Saccharomyces cerevisiae S288C: one gene and its partner. The protein of the gene in region 1 interacts with the protein of each later gene in a pairwise test. Each region holds a gene or a part of one and is shown on either strand. Other genes may lie near its edges.

What was found. The genes of interacting proteins can lie anywhere in the genome.
Region 2: the proteins of NMA111 (region 1) and FAA1 interact in a two-hybrid assay, tested with the Saccharomyces cerevisiae proteins (one study listed by BioGRID).

What each region holds. Positions count from the first base shown.
Region 1 is NC_001146.8:393,122-398,233, reverse strand, and holds NMA111 (Nma111p), read right to left. Parts: upstream 3,550-5,112; coding exon 556-3,549; downstream 1-555. Other genes in the region: mitochondrial 54S ribosomal protein bL35m MRP35, read left to right, coding at 1-211; NAF1 (RNA-binding snoRNP assembly protein), read right to left, coding at 3,864-5,112. UniProt on the Saccharomyces cerevisiae protein: Nuclear serine protease which mediates apoptosis through proteolysis of the apoptotic inhibitor BIR1.
Region 2 is NC_001147.6:907,354-911,967, reverse strand, and holds FAA1 (long-chain fatty acid-CoA ligase FAA1), read right to left. Parts: upstream 2,626-4,614; coding exon 523-2,625; downstream 1-522. Other genes in the region: YOR316C-A (uncharacterized protein), read left to right, coding at 4,033-4,242; metal cation transporter COT1, read left to right, coding at 4,413-4,614. UniProt on the Saccharomyces cerevisiae protein: Activates long-chain fatty acids (LCFA) by esterification of the fatty acids into metabolically active CoA-thioesters for subsequent degradation or incorporation into phospholipids.

The DNA.
Region 1 (5,112 bases):
TTCTACAATAACAATAAGAACTTTAATGAAAACTCATAAAGGTACAGCAAAGAGGTGGAGGCGTACCGGTAATACTTTTAAAAGAGGCATAGCTGGAAGAAAACATGGCAATATAGGCTGGTCCCATAGATCATTAAAAGCCTTAACCGGAAGGAAAATTGCCCATCCAGCTTATTCAAAGCATCTAAAGCGGTTATTACCCTATCATTGAAGGTGGAATAATTATGTTCTCCTCTAAACCAAACGCACCGTTAACCCCAAATCAATTGTTTGAGTATTTGCTTTCGGTCTTCATGTATATAAATAAGTATGAAACAATAACCATAAATTTATACAATCGATAATACCTTAGAGAATTCAAGCGTTGAAGTAATTAAATACTATTTCGTCAGGCGCTTGCAACCATCTCGACATCATAATCCTAACCCCTCAAAATGATTGAAAAACTTGTAAATCTTAACGCTCCTGTGATAGTCTATAAAAAAACTGTTCTTTATGGAAGACTTTGATGTATACATACATACATACATATATAAATGTTTTATCAAATCTGGCCTATTTTTCACTTTGGCTGTTGCCGGTAAATTCCTTTTCAATCCATTTGTGCGTGATGTTGTCCCTCTTCAATTCTGCAGTAGGGAAGTAATGATAATTCGTTTTCAGTGAAATAGCGAAGGGCACATTGTCGAAAGTCATTAACCTCATTTTACAATAACTATTATCAGGGATTGTTTTGACAACTTTCAAAAATGTATCTAGATCAGGTGTTTCAATTTCATTGACATGAGTTATGAAGTTTGTGGCAGATATACCGTACTGGAGCGCCGGTGACGATTCTCCCCTGAATGTACAGTAGACACCCTTTGGAACATCAACCATAGCTTGCAAAACAGCATGATGCGGCTTTTGTAAGATACTACCTGCAAATATTACAAAACGGTCGGTTTCCTGAACTTCCACGGTTTTAATTTTCAAATCAACAATATTACCATCACGAACAACTTTAAAATCTAACATGGCTGATGGCAAAATACCATCAGCTGAGCTTACAACTCCATTCAAATCATTCATTTCAGTGACTAATTTTCCGTTCACAGATAAAATGACGTCACCGGTCTCTAAATGAATCTTGTCTTCTGTATAAGAAACTCTAGAAACAGTGATAAACTGTAGCCTGTTATTTGATTCATGTTCCATACGCATGATCCATTCTTCGGGCACACCTCTAATTCTGGCTTGCAGAACGGAAATTGAACCGAACCCAGCATCAACTATACTTACTCTTGGTTTACCGCCATTTTTTAAGATATCTATAACTTCCCTACAGTCCATTATATCTAATCCCATCAAATAAACCTTTTCTTTATTTTCTAATCTTTCGCCTAAAAATGGAAGCCATAAACCTCTTACTGTACCATCATTATCTGTCAAAATACCGGAATTACATCTGGTGCTAACGTTGCAGTCGATAGATATAGCTTCTAAATTAGTGGCACGGTACCTCGGAATTAAATTACTTGGAATACTTACAGAGGAAATATCGGTGACAGTGGTCTCTGAAGTAACAATTCTATCATTCTGGGTAAAACCTATAAACTGAAGCTTATCACCACGTTTCATTCTGGTGGTAGATAGCTTGGGAGTGATTAGTGGAGCCTTTACTAACTCTGGATCATATTTAACAATAGCGAAGTTGTGAGTTGGATGGAGAAATTCTACTGTGGCTGGAACTACAAGGGAATCTGCAATGGTGACAAAAGTATCAAGACAATCATGTGGAACTACCCTTCTGGACACTAGGACATAACCTTTTTCAGCATCAATGATTAAGCCTGATGTTTTTAAAATATCAGCAGAAAGTGAATCCAATGGAACTGCTGCCATTGTAGCCACTGTACATAACGATGATGACAATTTTGCAACTTTTTCATTATTAACAGGAATAGGAATAATTTTGGCCGAACGAGGTTTCAACGCATCGGCTGGAAGTGGATCAGCAACATTTTTGTAATCCCAAATACCAGTTGTATCGTTCCTTGTGTAAACTCTGAATTCATTGCACCAATGACGGTCAATGTAAATAGAAGTAACAAGTGGAGAATGCTGATCTGTTAGATGGTGGTATCGTACAGTAACGCGCTTACGATCTGGAATAGTTTTCATAATTTCAATAAATGTATCTAAGTCGGGGGTTTCCTTATTGTCTATAGAATCCACAATCCAACCCACTCTTTCTTTTGAATCAAAGTTGAAAGACCCTGATGCACTACTTAAAAATACACCCCTGACAGGTAGCGCATAAAACCTTGCCATTTGATATGATAATTCATGAAAAGTCGCACCACAAACCTCTACATAACGATGAGGGGTGATAGCATGTAAATCACCAACAGTGCAGGTGACAGTACATTCGACACCGCCCCTTTGAATAACCAATTGGATTTCCTTCCCAACATTTTCATCTTGAATTTTATCCACTTGCATGAAAGAAGATATGGTTTCACCGTTTATTGAAATTAGAGTATCACCTTCTTTAATTTTATCATAGCCTGGGCCTTCTCTTAAAACGGTTTCTGCTACCAACAGTCCGATATTTTCGGGAAATTTAGCACGAGCCTCACTTTCTCTCTCTGAAGTTAAACCTAATCTTCTACACTCGTCATAAGGCTTCAGCAGCCATTGAACTTGAATCGTACCACGTGTGATAGGTTTGTTGGTTTGGATGCAAATTAACGCTCTAAGAATTCTATCTAACGGTAAAAAAAAATCAGTAGATGCCTCTGTAGAGCCACCTGCCTGTAAAGCCACAGCATACCCATCTATATTTACGACTGGAGAACCACTTGAACCGCCAGAAGCAGATGCAGCAGCTTGAATATATTCTGTATTGAAGTCATTGTATGTCAGCTCACCATATTCTGGAGCGTTCCTGTCAATTCTACTAATAAAACCTGCTAGGATACTTAATTTCTCACCGGCATCATTACCGACAACTCTAATTTCTGAGCCGACCTTAGCCAAACTTGGTTTTAGCGTTAACGCTTTGATCTTAGAATATTTTATGTTTTTCGGATCGAATTTGAGGAACCCAAAATCATGAACAGGATCTCTGTAAATTGGTATAACATCGCATTCTTCATGATTATCGAAAACTACGTAGCCTACGAACGGACCAGGACCAACGACGTGCCTATTGGTCAGAATTATACCTAATTTAGCATCCACGACAAATCCGGTAGCTTCAGATACCAAAGCAGAATCGCAATCGAATGGCGCAACTTGTGAAAAATGAATGGAAACCACTGATTTAACAACGTTGGAGATGGTATTTTGCCATCTTAGATAATTTTCTGAATCTGTGAGTACAGTGTTATTATTATTAGCAAAGTGCAACGGCTCTATAATGATTTCATGGTCTGTATATTCTTCCTCTTGATCTCCGGTGGCGCTTTCCAACTGTTTCCTTTTTACAAGCGATGATTCACCAGAAGTTCCATCGGAAATTTTAGAATGGTCTCTTTTCTTTATATTGCTCAACGATATGGTCATTAGTAGATCTAAAAAACCTTTACTGTACTCTACGTGTGTATTCAGAGTATAAATATCTTCTAAATAAACTTCCGTATTTAAACCCTCGTAGAACTTTTTTATTTACATATAAATTTTTTGAAAGTTTCATATCATCGCCTTGAGGAAAAAAAAAGAAAAAAAGAAAAATTATCATGTCACACGCTGAGATGGCGTCTAATAATGGTAGTGACAGTAAAATAATATTCAATTAAGAAACTTGTTAAATTTTTCTTGCCTCTTTCTAGTTTATCTATGATACATAGCATTTATTATTAAATATTTCAATCGTGACTCTAGGTTCTTGGATCTTGCTGATGCTGATGCTGATACTGGTGTTGCTGTTGCTGTTGCTGCAAAAGTATTTGATGTAATTCCATTACTTGTTGGAAATTACCATTTCCCTGAGGAGGTGCTTGAGGTGGCGGTTGGATGTACATTGGGTTTTGCATTTGATTCATGGGAGGTACGCCATATGGAAGTGGCGGTTGACTTTGGGTCATTGGCATGAACGACTGCTGTGTTGGCGGCGACATATTGTTGTATGCGGGAGGTAAGCTACCATATGGAACAGTGTTGGAGAATTGGGCCGGTGTCGCCTGCCCAAATGGTGGAGGTGGATACTGGAAGTTAGTCGGCTGAGGGAAAGGTGAGTATGGTGGATAAGGCATACCGTTTGGTTGTTGAGGGAAGGGATAATTATTTGCAGAAAACTGTTGTTGGTGGTGCTGTGTGATTGGCACTGGGGAGGAGCCATTCCGATTAGAGGTAGCACTGGATTCACGCTTGATATTTTCACGTGCGTTTCTTGATTTGTACCCATGTTGCATCGGAGCATTACTGCTCATGCCCAACGGCGGTACCAGTTTAGGTAAACTGTTGGCCTTGGGCTGCCGAGCTCTCTTTACCTTGACATTGTCACTATCGTTGGCTAGTTTGCGGTTGTCCCTTTTCTTTCGTTGCCGTTGCTGTTTCTTCATTTTCTTGAAAAGGGCCTCTTTTTCGTCGTCGGAAAATTCTTGTTCCTCTTCAGGTAATTCTTCATCGTACCCATTAGACGCATCAGTACCTTTGTTGCGCTTTAACTCGAAAGTATCTATCCAGTGGGCATCAGGGGTGACTATAAAGGCTTTCTCACCCAAACGCACTTTTAATTCATCGAATAAGTTTTTTTTTGAATCGGGCAACTTAATTCTATAAAATGGGTTTTGCAAGGGTCCAAACACCTCCGTCAACATCCCGATCAAAGTTCTATCCTCGAGACAGAAAATGGAACCCTCTTTTAAAACACGCTTTTCGCCCGACATCGTGGCGTGAATGATTATATTATTTTCAAATGCAGACTTCAAAACACCAATAGGAGTGATGATCGTTTTTTCTGAAATTTCATAATCTTCCGGTAGTTCAGGAACAGTTTCCTCTAGTATTTCGTTCTTCGATAGTATAGGACCGGAAGGTGAAGGGTCTTCGTCTTCGTCTTCATTTTCAATCGCGTCACCACCTTCGTCCTCTCCTTCAACGTCCTGATCTGCAGAATCATCCTCA
Region 2 (4,614 bases), on another chromosome or scaffold:
GAGATTGAATGAGAGCGGCTGGTTGCTATGGTTTGTCTTCCATGATGTGTACGAAGCTGTGAAAATGAGTACTAAGGAGTCAGTGCACACCAGGGTAATCAATTTCCCTGATATTTTGTCAACTCAACAAATGAGACAGGGTCCATCTCAGATCAGGACACCTCTGGTAATGCTTCTTATGTGAGGTGTCTTGGCCGAAATTTATATATATATATATATGTATCACTAAGCTCCTAATTAGACTGCCATGCGGCAGTCAACGTTACCTTTTTTGAAATGTAGAAAAATTTAGTTATTTTTTAGGATGTTCATAAATATATCTATATATGCCATTTTTAACATTATAAATTACGAACATACGTGAATGAGGTGATATGACTGGTAAAGAAGAAAAAAGGATAATAACAAACCAAACAAGATAACCTGTGCATTCTATTTTATAATTGGTAGCAGTTCTAAAGCAAAAAACTGAAAAAGTGCTTTAGTATGATGAGGCTTTCCTATCATGGAAATGTTGATCCATTAAGACGAACTATAAACGGCGTCAACTTTATCTTTGACAGCATTCAAAATGTCTTTTCTTTTCAATTTCTGAGCGGACGTAACAAAACCGTTTTGTGGAGTCCATTCGCCGTCAAAGAACACTATGCCTGCTAGTAATTCAATGCCAACCAAACCTTGGTCTTTACCTGTCTTCAAAAGATCAGAATAAACAGCTTTAATCAATTTTGCATCCTCCAAATAATTTTCGATATTAATTGAACTGTCTTTTTGTTCCATAATTCCCAACTTTTTAGCAAGCTTCGTTAATGGAGCATGATTTGGTACAATAATACCAACTGGCTTAGTCTTAGATTGGTCGGCATAAACACAAATGTTAGCAACATATTCGTTAGATCTGTAAACGGACTCTAATTTCTCGAGTGCGATATATTCACCGTTCATTGTTTTGACCAAGTTTTTCTTCCTGTCAATTATTTTCAAATGGCCATTTGCTTCCCATTCACCGATGTCACCGGTCTTGAACCAACCATCGCTTGTTAAAGCTTGAGAAGTTTCTTCCTCATTCTTATAATATTCAGGCGTGACATTGGCACCTGTGATCCAAACTTCACCTTGGTTGTTTTTAGCAAAATAACCTAATTCTTCAACATCAACTAGTTTGACGGTAACACAACCTGTTAGGTCACCAGCGACGCCGAGTTCAAAATTAGCAGGATCCAAGATGGTGGTACTAGCGCATGTCTCGGTTAAACCGTAACCAATAAGCATAGGGCAGATTAAATTTGTGATGAATTCCTGAGCATCCCGACTGATTGGAGAACCACCGTTTAACAAATATCTTAATTGGCCACCTGTGGCAGTTCTGATTTTTTTGAAAACCAAGTTTCCTAAGGCGCCGCCACCAGGGATGTGGAGACGTTGCATGTTCAACTTGGTATTATACGCGGTCCAGAAGATTTTCTTGGTGAGGAAGGGCAAATTATCAATTTGGTTTAAGATCCCTTTTCTCACTGTTTCCCAAACAGCGGCGACACCAACCATGATTGTGGGCTTGAATTCTTGCAAATCACCTTGACAATTTCTCACAGAGCTGCTAGTTAAAGTTTTTACGGTGGCATAACCAATGCAGGCCCCCCAATAAAAGGACAATAGTTCGAAAACCAATTCAAAAATATGAGCTAGTGGCAAAAAACAGATAACACGGTCGGTATTGCCCACAAACTTCAAAACATTCAAACTTGCACCACCAACACCTGCGACAACATTTGAATGTTTCAAGACAACACCCTTTGGCTCACCTGTAGAACCAGACGTATACATGATGCAACAAAGATCATCCTTGCCAGGTGGATGAACATCGATTTCGTTACAGGATTCTTTACCTAGCTTCAAGATGTCGTCAAAGCTAAAGGTCTTGATATCAGGTCTAACTTCTTTAATTCTGTTGATGGCATCATGAGCAGATTGATAGATCTTACCACTTTGCCTCCTGTCCTCAGAACTGATGGAATCGAAATGAATTATGTATTTTACGTCTTGAGCGGCTTGCACTGGTTTGATCAAGGATGGTAATAAAGAGTTATCGGTAAAAATGGCCTTAGACCCCGTTTGCACCAAAGAATGAATTAGCCCTTTCTCTCCCAAAGTATCGTAGGCAGTGACGACAGGAATACCTTGAGACTGCGCTCCTAAGAACATCTTCATCCACTTGTGAGAAGTGGCTGCGTAAAGATGTAATTTGTCATCATCATTAGGCTTTAATCCTATTTTCACCAACCCACGACCAATTTCATGCATGATATCGGTCAATTGGTCAAATGAATTATAATGATAATGCGATAGTTCATAATACATCCATTTCTTTTCCACTGAAGTCTCCTTGCCATCAACTTTTTTCATAACCGATTTGGATTCTTCATGAATTTCCTTAACATCCCTCCAACCCATAGCATTTGAATTTTTGTTCTTCTGAAAGCACTCTAGAACAAACTCATAAACAGTGGAACACTTTGTGTTAGGCGGTCTGACGAGCGGCTTCTCGCGGCATTGATAATTTCTTCTTGGAGCAGTTTCATGCTCATTGGCGGCTTTCCCAACTGGAACGGTATATTGAGCAACCATATTGTTGTCTTTTTTTGTCTTTTGTGTTTGTTCTAGTTTTTATTGTATCCTAACGAGTTTTTTAACAACAAGAACTTTCTATACTTACTAAATATACTACAATTGTCTCACGACAAGTGAGGGGTAAAAGGAAAAAAAGAGAGAAAAATAAGCGGTTAAAGCCTTTTACTTAAAGACAGCGAAGGAGATCTCCAAACATTTTTGTTGTAATATCGATAATACGATATCCGCGAAAGGAACCAAAAAAAGCAAAAAAAAAAAAAAAACGCGCGAGAACAGCCTATCTCTGCTGTCCCGTATGCACAGGGAAGTTCTCCTGATATGCGATGGGTGGGTGCCCCTGTGTCATTCGTATTATATGATGTATTCGTGCCTGTATCATGCATAAATATTCACATGGCGGAGATCATGTTCCTGACAGGGCGTGATCGACTTTACTATTGTCCTTGTCATTCCCTTATGGAAGAATATGACAGGGCTGCATCATCCATATTCTAAGTAATTCTCTTTGCCGCGCTAAGCATGGCTTCATCGCTTGTTAGAAGGCGCATTTGTTATAAAGTTCAGCCGGCTCTATCGGTCCGCTAGCTAGGTCTGTTTACTTTCCGCAGCGTAAGCAGCTGGCAAAGTGGATCGGTCTTACATCTACAACGCAGTGACGTTTCTGATACTTTGGTGACGTATTCTTTTCTCACCGCTACGTTTTCTTCGCCCGCTCCGTGCGGACCGAAAAAAGACCCTCTCCCCTTATAAATTTTGTCAGTATTATAGCAATTGCCTGCGGACTTTCACCGCGCTTAGATCAAGAGGGCATCATGAGGCTACCTACAATTGACATACTAAGTCAAGAAAAATAATAGTGTATCGAATACGCGTGGTAGCTACATTAAATACTAAAGTATGGTTTTTTTTTTTAAGTAGGTTTACTCTTCATATTCTTCATTTTCATTTTTCCTTTTCTTCCCGTTCTTCATTTTTATTCCTAGAAAAAAAAATAAATATGTCTATCGTTAACCTAAACATAAACAAAGTTTAGCCCGCTTATTTAAATGATGCCCAGTACTTTTTTTCAAAACTCATATAATTATATATATCAAGAATGCTTTCCAACCACCGCTTGTATTAAGGTGTAGAAAGGTGGTTTTTGTATTCAAAAAGAGTACAAGCCCATTATAGCTAACTTAACAGTCCACCCTACTATATCCCACGCATATCTGGTTTTAACTTGTGGCGGGCGATATGGAACGAATTTTTCAAAGTTAACCATAGAAAAAAGCATGTGATCAAGGCAGAGTGAACGAGGGAAAAAGAAAGTGTGGAGAAGGCCACCTTTTGAAAAGTTTACCAATCGATCGGTCTCTCAGCACTTTCTACATTTAATCTCTTTATAGTGAACATCGCTGGCTCATGCTGGTTCCCATGCATAACTCACCCACGGCCGCCAACGGCCGCTTATCACTTACTGTCGCCAGCTCCGGTCTTAGAAAGGGTAAAAAAAACCGGGTGTATACTATACACTCATACATCCGCTCACCCGTTTCCAGTAGTGAATTTTCATTTTCTGTACGAAGGCAATATAAGCTGACGATCCGCATAAAGCAGAAGACTCATTTGTAATGCAGAATATCCGTACAATAAAGGAATTTATTGGTCTTATATATTCTACGTGGGAGCTCGAAAAGCATTTCTGGTTCTATTTAGTAACCAATTATTTTCACTTTGCTCAGAATAGTTCTGCATAGCTATAGAAAGAAAGTTAACACAAAGTACGGAAAGATTGAGTAAATATGAAACTCGGAAGCAAACAGGTAAAAATTATATCCTTGTTGCTGCTAGACACAGTGTTCTTCGGGATCGAGATAACTACCGGGTACTTGTCTCACTCTTTGGCTCTAATCGCGGACTCATTCCATATGCTAAACGATATAATTTCTCTTGTGGTTGCACTTTGGGCCGTAAATGTTGCCAAAAACAGAAATCCGGATTCAA